Linked DNA regions of Oryza sativa Japonica Group. The protein of the gene in region 2 binds, or shares a complex with, the protein of the main gene of each other region. Links are inferred from orthologs where the notes say so. Each region holds a gene or a part of one and is shown on either strand. Other genes may lie near its edges.

Region 1 (3,972 bases), on a different chromosome or scaffold from region 2:
CAGCATCGGCTAATGTAATTAGTGTTGAGTTTGTTAGGTGTAAATTATCCTAGCGCGTGATCAAGTTCCTTTTCGCTCTGTTCAGCCAGGGGTCATGGTTCTGTGGCTTACCGTTTTGTCGGAGGAAAAATGTTAGGTGTCGCTGGCGCTGCTCTGAATGAGCGGAATGGTGACCTGGTCTTGACAACAAAATTTTAGTCTGAAGATTCAGATGACTAGCTTTGTTGAAACTCTAGGAACTTATTCTGGAAATAGTTAGCGGGTTTGGAGGGGAACTTATTCTGGAAATAGTTAGCAAGTTTGGAGGGCATTGTAATTGTTGTAATATATGAGTTGCAAACATTCTTTCTGAGGCCTGTGTACTTGATTCCTTTCGCCTCTGTAATGTATTGGTTTGATCGTGCACACGTCTGTATAGAAACGCTGTTGATCTGTTAAGTCCTTGGCTCCGGAGACTATGGCCTAATGGTCTGCCTTTTTAACTGATGGCTACTCGTCGCTTGCAAGTTGCAACTGATGGTTGAACCGATTCAATCAACATAATTAGATGGCTATAATAGAAAAATAGCTCTAATAGCATACACACAATTAATTAATTGAAGTCTATAAGGTAATTATGCATCCTTTTTCCTGGAAGCTGAGCCAGGGTGTTCGATCCAGCACTTTTTCTAGTGGTAGATCAGCGTCTGTATGTATGTATGTATCTACATGACTACGAAGCAATAAAATAAAAGATATTTCTGCAATTGAACTGCCTCCCATCACGCGGTGAGGTCGGACAGCTTGAAGGAGTCGGCGACGACTTTGAGCCTGTTCCTCAGCCTACTCCATCGCCGCTCGTTCGCCGTCACGATCAGTGTGTAGTACCGACCTGCCATGCCATTGCCATTGCCATCAGGTTAACCAGCTTCTTCTTATGAGAGGAAAAAAAAATACATGCATGATGAAATATACAATTTAATAGATGATGATGATATATATCTCTGCGATCTTGTGGTGAGGAGGCATCATATCAATATCATACCGTTTCCAATGGCAACCGTCGCAAATGCGGACACGCCGTAGCCCGGGGCCTCAAGATCGTACTCAAATGTCCAGTAGTTCTTGCCATCCACGGTGCGCTGCGAATCACAACAACTCAGTTGCTTATTTTGCTTGCAGAGTTGTTGCAGTCTTTGTTATAGCCATTCCAATGAGATCAGACGTAAATTAATCAGCGAAAGAGCAATGCAGCGACAGTTTGGTATACTCAGATAGATCATATGGCTAAATAGTATTGATTGAAGGAGATGGATAAATGGCAAACCTCTTGCATGTCATAGACAGTTGGTATTTGATTTGGAGCAGCATAAACATTGTTCACCAAATTGAAGATCGCCTGATAGAGGAGTATGTAAATTGTCAGAATAAAAAAAATCTATGATGTATAACAAAAGAAAAGGCTAAAAAAATTGCCTGATTCCTTTACATTACCAAGAAAGATATTATCAGATATCGCATGAAATCCTACCTCATCCATTGGACCAAGGTCACGGATATCTGTTTTTGTAGTAGGAATGAAGCCCACACGCACGCACTGCAGCGCTACATTACGATCTTTGAACGCTGAATCATGCCCCAGGAAGTCGAAATCCTGAAGTGACACATCAAAACAAAGGGCATACATCAATACCATGTACCACCGAAAACACAGTCATTGGAACTGACATCTCTGTTCTTCAAGACGAAAATATTGCAACCTACCCTCCAATCAGCTGGATACAGGTATGAATATCCATCTTTTGAATCCACATAAGACTTGTAATTCTTTGGCACTTCTGGAATATAGGAACAATCCGAGTTAGTATCATCTCATGGTGCCATAAAGGCTTAATGGCTACTTGAGAAGTGGGAACTTGTATGTAACATGCAGACAACCTAGTACTGAAATAAAACCATGCGACAGTTCAGATGGCCATGCCTTCAGCATATGCAGAGCTGCTCTTTAGCAGACCAGTGGCTAATGCTCCAGCACCAAGCAGAGCTAATCTCCTCCTTGTCACATCTGTAAGATGGAGAGATAATCAGCCAAAAAAAATGTTAATCTTCAGAAACAAAATGCATCGAGAGAACTGACAGAGAGGAATTTACTCTTTTCATCCGAGGATGCTTCACTCGAGCTAGCGTTGACGACTGACAGAGGAGACGCATTCAGCTTGCTGGTAACAGCACAATTTGGAGCAACCAACTGAAAACAACACCGATATAAAGTGGTGAAATAAACAAGATTCAGAAAACGATGAGAAGAGGGCACAAGCACACACCTGCTTGGAAACGGAGCAGATCAAATTCTGCAGGCTTGCCATTTCACCTGCAGGAGTAGCTATGAACCTGAAGAAAATACGTGTTCTTGCCTTCCTCCAGTCAAGTTATCCTTTGCTGCTAGGACTGGCTCGTTCGCTTTTCAAGTGTAGTCTGTGTGTCTGTGTGAGTGGAGGGCAAGGAAGCCAGGTCAGCATTTCCATTATCCTCATTAGAACTTTTGGCCTTGTCTCGTACTGAGCACTGACTGACAAAATGGGACCAATCCGTTCCTGTTGTGATTGTGGTGGAGATATGTGAGAGCTTTATGTTTTTCCAATTCTCTTTTTACCTTTTTTTTTGTACATTGACTTTGGCTGAAAAACAATATATGTACACACACACACACACGATCCTACCATCAGATCATGCGATACATATTCGATAGCTTCGATGTAACAAGAAAGATGATTTTGACTGTGCTTCAAACTTGGTAGATAAATAGTACAACAGCTGCGAACTAACGCATTTAGCCATAGCAAATAAGCAAAGCTGCAATTAGCAACCATAGTGCCACTAGCATAACAAGACTGAATTTGCTCCAGACTGTTCACAGCGAAAGGGGATGCTTGAAACAAAATTTTCAGGTTAACATAAATAATATACAACAGCAGCTAAGATATTTTGAGGCTAGTAGTTCTTTGGGGCAGGTTTCACTAAACCCAGTCCAGAACCACTCCCCAAATGCTTGAAATCTCTCGCCTCTAGACGCTCATCATGGGCAGCGAATCCAGTTCCTCCTTTTTCCAAAGGAACGAAATTCCTCTCCTTGCACGGTTTGTTGCACACCAAGCAGACCTTATCAGTTACAAGGAACTTGTCAGAGCACTTCTTGCAGAAGACATGGCCACACGTGCTGATCGTCACCAGGGACATGGTGTTTGTTAGGGTAGACTTGCAACTGGGGCACATGTAGCTCTTCTCCACCGACTTCTTGTTTTTCTGGTCGGTGTTTTCTTCAGTGAAGGAGATAGGGAAGAGCGATTTCAACTTGAGCTTCTCCTGTCCCTCGGGGCAGATTGTGTCAGTGGAGGGAGCTTCTACTTTGGCAGTAGCTTCAGGTGTAGCTGATGGAAGCCAGAATGCCTTCATGTTGCGAAGGGCTTCCTCCTCAAAGGAAGTAACCTTCACGCTGTTTGCTCCATGAAAACCATTCTTGTCTTCAGAGCCGCTGCGATCGTGGTATTGGGGGACGGCTCCATGATTCTGCTGATCAAAAGCGTCCAACTCCTTGGACTTTTGCAGCATACGCTTCTCATCCTCCTCTTCCTTCTCCAGCTTTTTCTGGGCCTCATGAGCAGCAAGTTTGCTGGAAGAACAAGAATTAACACTCAGAATTCCATCCGATTCATTCAGTTATACAAGCAGAAGATTTAAGATTATGTACGGAGATTTCAGATGTCCATTAGGCCACAGGAATTCTAGGTAAGCAAAGTACAAAAGGGAGACCACTTTGCCTATCAACACTAAGAGGTTAACAAACATACTGTGAAAACAAGCCAAAGAATGACATAGGTTTAGGTGCCTAAGGTACCATAGTCATGGCTACTGAGCCTGTACTATACAGGGTCTATCACCACGACATATTGGTGAAGGATCCTTCACCAGTCATCGACCGTGATGACATATGCT
Region 2 (4,352 bases):
AGAATTGTAATGTTACCTGTGAAAGATGATCTAAGGTGTTTTCAGATTGCAAAGTGATTGTAATGAAGAAGCATCAAAGAACCTACTTGGCCAGGAGTGGTGATGAACAGGATATTGGTGTCCTTCCCCACAGTCTCCTCAACCTCTTCCCTGTGCTTCTGATGAGGGATCACAAACAGAGGCTTCAGACCATTGTCTTCAGAGCTGCCAAGACACCACCATTTTTTTGGCTTTAGTTCTACCTTCTCACAATCGGTACCAAGCTGGAAATGTAAGTGTAAGAGCAGCCGTGCTTGAGTGAGTGAGTGAGGTGAGGTGAAAAACCTGATCTCCTTGGCGATCTCAGCCCAATGCTCGAGAGGGAGGAGGCAGTCATCGTCCCCCCTCGACCTCATGTTGGCGAAGGAGTCGGAGGCGATGCCGTGGACGACGACGAACTTGCCCTTCTCGACGCCGGCACGGCTATATTTGTCCTCCACGAACGCTCGGAGCTTCTTGGAGATGGACACCCGCAACGGCGGTACCGGGTGCTCCGGCACACCCTTCGCTGGCCGCCCAATCCACTCCAACATGTCCTGATACCTAATCCATCCAGTTGCACACTCTTCGAAATCAGAAAGCATTTTGCAAGAATTTTATAGGATTTTGACGGTAATTGGTTCAACTCTTCTACAAGAATAATTGAGCAAGATTCCTAAGTTGCAAAAGAAGAGCTAGGCAATATCTGCTTTACTATAAGGGTTATAACTCTGCCTCTGCTTGTTTGTCTTATTAGCCGCAACCAAATATTAAATTTTAAAATTTAATTTTAGATTTGATTTTGAGTTTTCCTTATCATAGTTTATTTCTCAATATTGACTTTTGAACCATTAAGAACAGTTAAAAGTTTTGCCAACAAATCATATTCGGTTGCCTAGTTCATTTTGTTATGGCTTTTCAACCTAAATCAAAGGCAAAAGATGAGACAGTTGCCCCTATATAAATTAAATGCAACTATACAGCACAAGAATGCCAAAGCAGTAACTTTTTCGGATGAGGAAATTATAACAGTTATGAACCAAGGGGAGGCGAAACCGCGGAGAAGAGGAGGATGATGATCTTACATGTTGTAGCCGCTGTCGGCGAGGTTGGTGGTCGGCGGCCGGAACATCTCGGTGAGGAACAGCCCGGCGCCGGCGCTGTTGACGTTGGGGTAAACATAGCCGACCTTGTCGCGGGCCGACGACATGAAGAGGAAGAGCGCGTGCCCTATCCCGGCCAACTTGGTCGATATGATCAGATCATAGTACCTGTTCTGCCAACCTCAACACAAAATCAAGCTTCAGTTGGTTGAATCTTTCATGATAAATATAATCTAATCAAAATACTGAGCATATGTGGTGGGGAAGCAACATAATTAAGCAGGTTTATCTGATATTATTATGTTTAGAGAATCACAATAAATTTTGAACAAATTCAGCGCATATATCGAACCGGCTCGAGATGTGCAACTCCAATGGTTTGTTTGAAATTTGTCGAAATTAATGAAAAACCGATTACTCACTATGGCTCGAAAGTCGAAATCTGCTGACCATTAGAGAATGTAAACCTGGGCTGGGCATGACACTTCTGAAGGAGAGAGAATTCTAATCTCTCGAGAGGATATCTTCTCGTGTAATTTTTATTTTCTAAATTCAATGTAATTGGTTGTGAAAAATTCTAAAAAAAAATGACAATGCATAATAACATCTATTACTCCATAAAAACATATTTAAATTCGATCTATGCTTTGAGGAAACAAAAGACGAATTCAGACATGACACTACTCATATGTTGGATTTTTTTTTAATTATTTCTCAATGTGTGAGTTGAATTTTGACTTGATTTTTTTTTGAGTACTTTACACGTACGGTGTGTATGTTGTCAATTTTGAAAGAATTCTTAACAATTATTTAGATGAAGTTTGAATAAACGAGTGGACATAATCCCTTCTCGATCGAGTTTAAAACATATACATCCCCACTTTGAGTGACTATTTCTGTACGTAGCAGTGACATAATTTTTGGTTTACCTTGAGCACGCCGAGCTGGTGGGTGTACTCGGCGGGCTCGGGCCAGTCGTCGTCGGGGTCGTAGACGTCGGCGTACCTGACGTTCTTGCACATCTCGTACACCTGCTTCCCCCTCGCCGACGCCACCACGTCCACCACCACCCCGGGGTACCTGTCCCGCAGCAGCTGCACCACCGGGAAGAAGAGCACGTTCTCGTACACCCCGCCGGACACCACGCAGCACGCCCGCCGCACGTCGCGCCGCACCTTGGATGCCAGGCTATCCAGCTCCGGGTTGTACCCCGCCGGGAACCGCAGGAACCCGTACGGGTTCGCCGGGTCCTCCGGCGGCCGCGGGTCCTCCTCCTGCTTCCCCCCCGAGAACGCGCCGCGGTAGTCGAACTCGTCGTCGGGCCCGTCGTCGAACGGGTCCAGCCACGGGTTCTTCTTCTTCGCCGACGCCCGCGCCACGCCCGCGCCGCCGCGCCGCCCTAGCTGCAGCAGGTGGCAGCAGCATTGCCTCGCTATCGGCAGCGACGGCGGTGAGGGGAGCTTCGCCGGCGTGGCCATGGACGTCGACATGGTTGGCGTCTGCATGCTTGTTGCAGAGTGAGTGTGCTGATGAGTTGCTTTGGATATTGCTATTGTTTTTATTTATTTATTTCTATGTTTTTTGTTTTTTGGTGTGTGGAGGAGGGGTTTGGATGTGGTGGGTTAGGGATGTGTGGAGGAGGAAGGATAAAGTGCACGATGATGGTGCCAATTGGTCCTGTTTTCTTGTGCCACCATTCCTCGATCTCCTTTAATTTGGTTCATCCTTTTTGTTGATGTGGCAGCTGGCAAAATCCCTCCGAAAATTCTTTTGGAGTTTGGATTATACTTGTGAGTTTCTACAAGGATCTTTCAGAATGGAGTAATTGTAGAAGATTTATCTTTATGACAGCTGAACTAATCCTATCTTACTATAAAATTACCCCCCACTAACTCATTTAAGCTTAACATGCAAAGATGCCACATCATTATCCACTAATTAACCAGATGCCACATCATCATCCACTAACGATCATCACATTTAAACATCATGCAAACATGTTATATTATCTATAATTTTATAGTTTTTATAATTTAAGAGCTTTTAAAATACAAGCATGTTAAATTATCATCCCACATAATTCACACAATGTTTCAATGTATATCTATATTTTATAAAATCCTACTCCATCCGTTTCACAATGTAAGTCATTATAGCATTTCCCACATTCATATTGATGTTATGACTTACATTGTGAAACGGAGGAAGTACATACTTATATAGTTCATCCTCACTTAGTTAGTGCTTAAATGATTAATCTATGGTCCAAATTATATTTCTCCTTTTTTCCTCTAATTAAGTCATATCACATCAATTGTTTTTAGCCTTTAAATGATTAATCTACGGTCCAAACTACCCTACTTTTCTTCTTCCATAAAGTCATACCACCTTACTTTTTACGTTTGAATCACCATTCTACATACTATTTAAATTTAAATTATCATAAATCACATTAATTTACTTAATTTGATGTTATCTAGCTATCTGTCGGAGATATGGGCCCGGGGGTATGTAAAGTGAGGGGAATTTACCTTCCCATCCAGCTACGTGGCCCTGCAGCCTGGCCCTACCCCCGCACCTCGCGAATCGCAGAAGCGGCCGGGGGGCCTCAGGGTGCCACGTCATGCCCCTCGGGCCCTCGCGCTGCCCTGCCCCGAGGACCTCGCCCGACTGCCATGTGGCAGGGGGAGCGAGCGGGGAGGGGACCCAGGCTGAACCGCTATCAATGCGCGCGGCGCCCCAACTGCCCCTCACCGCATTTAATGCGGTAGGGGCAGACATGCGGTGCCGTCCGACTGACGCACGTCAGTCAGGACTAACCAGTCTGTCACCGGCCTGTTGCCGGTCACGTCTGACTGGACGGGCGGCCGTGCCCCCACGTCGCCTTTTTCTCCAGCGGAGTGGAGGTAGGTGTGTCCTGTCACATCGGAGCGTCATCCGGAGTTCTCCCGACATGAGGAGGACGGCCAAAGGTCTCTGCCCATTTATAAGGGAATGACAGGGCTGTCCCCCGTGTTAGGAAGGGGGCGGCGCTGGGTCCCACTCAAGGACGGGCCGCTGCTTAGCTTCCGGGTGAAGGCACAGATCGTGGCCCGGTCAAGGTAAAGTGGGTCCCCCTCCCATGAAAGAGTAGGTAGAGGCGATGCATGTGGTATCCCCTTGAACTATAAAAGGAGGACCTTGCCCACCGAGAAAAGGGACGACTCTCAGTAAGCCTAAACTCTAGAATAA
Region 3 (3,736 bases), on a different chromosome or scaffold from region 2:
ACCAGATACTTTACGTGTTTAGTGTTTACCATGGGCTCCTCGCCAACAACCATGAGGAATTTCATGACACCGAGCAGCATTCAGAGCATCTGACGAAAAAGGTTTTCGTTTTAAACCGACAAGAAGCTTTTGGAATTCTTGAGTCTTCCTGCCACGGAAATGGCAGCTCTCCTTTTCTTCCCTCATTCACCTACCAGTTCTGGCTCTGAACCGGTCAATCGATAGTTCAACTCTCACGATTTGGGTGTTCTTTGGTTTCATAAAAGGATTTTAGGATATTCTCTGAAGTCTGAACAATGCATGTTTCGATTTGATGGTTAACAAACCTATGATTAAATTATCTTGTGGCAATACTGCAGTGCAGACAGCAGTCAAAGGCTCAAAGCTACTACTGCACATGTGCTTTGACACGAACTTTCGACATTTTTTTGAGTACATTAGTATTGATACAGTCGATTAGCTTGCTTGAACTGTTGAAGGTTTGGAAGTCACCAGTCAATCGATATTCAGTCAGAGTTCAACTTCATTTAGTTAGGACTTGCCACAAAGGATGGGAATTTTTGTTGTGTTTGGCTGTACCAATGACAGTATGAATAATGAGACATGTCTTTACAACGTTATACTTACACAAACACAAGACTTTTCTTCTCTAGAAAACATAAGACCAATTTGATAGTATATCAGAGGACCGGTTTGTTATATATCCTTTCACTTCTTGGTACAGATTGCAAATGTAGTACTCTGCGTATTGGAGACCCAAGGAGCTCCGGTGACGCATTTGCTTTCGGCGTCTGGGCTTAGGCATGTCGCACCCTTTCTCTTCATCTGTCCGTAGTCCCGCCTCTTGTATGAAACGCCAAAATTTACTCGAAAATCTGCCAGAGAATGTAACATGCTTATGTAACAAACAACAACCCCTTTAGGCAAGGGATACTGTTTTCAGATGAAAAAAAAATCAGACAGGTTCAGAATACCACCACCATACCTTGTTTGCACCTAGTCTGTTCAAGTCATGCATATTCCTTTTCATCATATGCTCACTTGTAAAATCCAACCAGGAAGATGTCGTATAGGAGTGTGGTGTTGCCGGGAATATTACAGTCTCCTGTTAAATAAGTAAATCTTCTGTAAATTTGTATATTTTTTCTAGCGAATGCTAATAAGGGAGCCAGACAGATAGCACTGAAACATCGTTAAATACATGAAACTTAATCTGGTCTCAAATTTCTAGAATTAAATTAAGATTACTTGTTTGATTACTTTTTTTTTTCTTTCGTTATTACCTGAGAAGCAACCTGCTGGTTCAGGTCCGTATGCCAAAGTTGCAGGTATCATAAGCTTGCGCTTTCCACCTGTAATGTTATTGCGATTTTCAACAGAGACACGATGTGATTAAGAAAAATAAAAGCAGTACTATATTTTTAGCATTTGACACACAAAGAGATGCATATGCTTATTATTTCTGGATTTCTGACAGTACCAACGAGCATGGGTGGCACACCACCGCCACCACTGATTCCCTGTTCAAGCCCTCGGAGGATCTGAGAATGAAAATGCGAACGAACCAAACAATAAGATTCCTTGCATAACTACATAAGATGCTTGCTACGATCGAAGATGTACGTGCAATGAACAAAAGCTGCGCACCTTGCCTGCGCCAAGGCGCATTGTCAGTGGCCGTCCTCGCTTGTAGGTGCTGTCGAACACTATCCCGTCAGTAAATCTTGCAGTGTAGTGTACCTTACAACCATGAACACAACTCCAATTAACACACTTGAAACTCCTATCAGTGTCATGGCGAGAAAAAAATGGCAGGTTTATTCGTTGTCGAACTAACTAAAGGATCGGTACTGATGCAAATTGGGCAAATTTATGATCTGCCAATGCTTAATTACTCCATACAGGAGTTAATCATATTCAGAAAACACAGGTTCTTCTAGAGAAAGTGCGAGAAACTCTTCTGTCGGAACTGACATTTATGAGCTGGCCGCGCGGGGGCTGGGCGCCGGTGCCGACTTCGACGTCGCAGTAGCCGAGCCCCGACTTGACGACGTTCATGTCGCACAGCTTGTCCCCCACCGTCGCGTAGTACTCGATGCGCGTCGCTCCGGCGTCGCCGGCGGGGCACAGAAGCCCAGGGGAAGCCAGGAACCCCGCGCCCAGCGCGAGCAGCCCCCTCCTGCCGGCCGACGTCGCCACCGGGAGACTCCAGGCAGCCGAGCACGAGGTCGACGACGGGGAGGAGGAGGAGGAGCTGCTGCTGCTGTTGCTGCACGCCGCGACGGTGAGCGGCCTGCCCGGTTTGGCGACCGGAGGCGACGGGATTGGGTTGGAGGCCATGAGCGAGAGGGAGGAGGAGATAGGAGGAGGCGCCATCGGTGAGTGAGTCACTTGGGGAGTAGAGAATCGGATTATCCCCAAACTGTGGCTGCTGCAACGCGGGCACCTCTCTGTCGCGTCGTTATAAACGCCCGCGTACGTCGTCACGGGCCATGGGCTTTCCCAACTCAACACCCGAGGACCGAGGAAGGAATCCTCGTTTTTTTTGCGGGCCAAGCCGCGTGTCTCGTCGCCAAACGGCGGCCGTGGCCCGTGGAACGACAGATGATTCCAGGAAAAAGTACACCGAAGGTCCCTCAACTTGTCATCGAGTTACAAAATCGTTTCCCAACCGCAAAACCAGATATCAGGCGTTCCTCAACTAACAAAACCGTTCACTTTAGATCCTTCGGTGGTTTTGACCCCGGTTTTATTTGACGTGACGGCTGAGTCAGCGCGTGGGTCCCACATGTAAGATGCCATATCATCACCTCTCTCTTATTTCCCATTTTCCCCTCCTCTCCCTCCCTCTCTCTCTTCTCAGGGCGGCCAGCGGGTGCGGATTGCGGAGGAGGCTGGTAGGGCAGCTGGCGACGGGTGGCGATGTGGCAACTTGGTGCGGCACCGACGAGGATGGGGTTGGCCTGCAGCCAGAACGCCGCCATCCCCCACAGCTCCCGCAGCGAGCGTATGCTAAGAGGGAGGAGGCGGGGAGGCCGGCAGCGAGTGCATACGAAGAGGGAGGAGGCGGGGAGGGGTTGGAGGTGGGATGAGGGCGAGCTCGCCGGCCTCCCCGCCCCCCTCGCCAGACCTGCTGTAGCGCCCGTTCCGTCGTGGCGCCTAGCGGGGAAATTATCTCTTAAAAACCCTAATTGCGAAATTTGTTTCTTTGCTTGTTGTCTAGTATCCGTGCCATCTCAAGATCTCAATCCCCGATCTATCGTCGAGTTCAATTCCGAATCCAATCCCTCCAAATCAAATTCCTCCGCAAAAGTCCATTTTGCCTCCCCCAGGGTCGATGGGCCGATTTTCCCTCGGCCCATCTTCCCCTCTCTCTCCCGGCTCTCTCTCTCGCTTTCCCCGGCGCGCCCCCGCTCTCTCCCTCTCTCCCTCCGCTCCGCCCCGCGCCGCGCGCGCGAGCGCGCGTCGCCGCGCCGAGCGCCCCTCCCTCGCGCGCCACGCGCGAGCGCGAGAGCCGCGCCCTGCGCCCCTCCGCTCGGCCCCGCGAGCCAGCACGCGTAAGCCGCCCGCGCCGAGCCAAGTCCTCCCTCACCGCTCCCTCGCTGCCGCTTCCCGCGCGCTGTGTTCGCGTGCGCGCGCCCGCGCGGACGCCGCCCGTTGCAAGCCGCGCGCGCGTGCCGAGTGGTCGACCGCCCGGTCGCCGCCGCCGTCAGCCTCTGCACGCGCCTGTCGCCAA

What was found.
Region 1: photosynthetic NDH subunit of subcomplex B 1, chloroplastic (region 2) and photosynthetic NDH subunit of lumenal location 1, chloroplastic share a complex: the UniProt entries of both Arabidopsis thaliana proteins name them as parts of the chloroplast NDH complex. The link is inferred for Oryza sativa Japonica Group from reciprocal best matches to the Arabidopsis thaliana genes PnsB1 and PnsL1.
Region 3: photosynthetic NDH subunit of subcomplex B 1, chloroplastic (region 2) and photosynthetic NDH subunit of lumenal location 4, chloroplastic share a complex: the UniProt entries of both Arabidopsis thaliana proteins name them as parts of the chloroplast NDH complex. The link is inferred for Oryza sativa Japonica Group from reciprocal best matches to the Arabidopsis thaliana genes PnsB1 and PnsL4.

The regions. Positions count from the first base shown.
Region 1 is NC_089037.1:9,604,458-9,608,429, reverse strand, and holds photosynthetic NDH subunit of lumenal location 1, chloroplastic, read right to left. Parts: upstream 2,466-3,972; 5' UTR 2,346-2,465; coding exon 2,304-2,345; intron 2,228-2,303; coding exon 2,131-2,227; intron 2,045-2,130; coding exon 1,961-2,044; intron 1,818-1,960; coding exon 1,744-1,817; intron 1,634-1,743; coding exon 1,511-1,633; intron 1,379-1,510; coding exon 1,307-1,378; intron 1,122-1,306; coding exon 1,025-1,121; intron 872-1,024; coding exon 762-871; 3' UTR 558-761; downstream 1-557. Other genes in the region: ABC transporter B family member 20, read left to right, coding at 1-18; E3 ubiquitin-protein ligase CSU1, read right to left, coding at 2,971-3,649. UniProt on the Arabidopsis thaliana protein: NDH shuttles electrons from NAD(P)H:plastoquinone, via FMN and iron-sulfur (Fe-S) centers, to quinones in the photosynthetic chain and possibly in a chloroplast respiratory chain.
Region 2 is NC_089042.1:10,685,890-10,690,241, reverse strand, and holds the start of photosynthetic NDH subunit of subcomplex B 1, chloroplastic, read right to left. Parts: upstream 2,824-4,352; 5' UTR 2,627-2,823; coding exon 2,051-2,626; intron 1,295-2,050; coding exon 1,104-1,294; intron 583-1,103; coding exon 325-582; intron 205-324; coding exon 87-204; intron 1-86. UniProt on the Arabidopsis thaliana protein: NDH shuttles electrons from NAD(P)H:plastoquinone, via FMN and iron-sulfur (Fe-S) centers, to quinones in the photosynthetic chain and possibly in a chloroplast respiratory chain.
Region 3 is NC_089036.1:32,085,249-32,088,984, reverse strand, and holds photosynthetic NDH subunit of lumenal location 4, chloroplastic, read right to left. Parts: upstream 2,452-3,736; 5' UTR 2,377-2,451; coding exon 1,975-2,376; intron 1,741-1,974; coding exon 1,648-1,740; intron 1,542-1,647; coding exon 1,481-1,541; intron 1,353-1,480; coding exon 1,284-1,352; intron 1,106-1,283; coding exon 1,038-1,105; 3' UTR 986-1,037; intron 876-985; 3' UTR 558-875; downstream 1-557. UniProt on the Arabidopsis thaliana protein: NDH shuttles electrons from NAD(P)H:plastoquinone, via FMN and iron-sulfur (Fe-S) centers, to quinones in the photosynthetic chain and possibly in a chloroplast respiratory chain.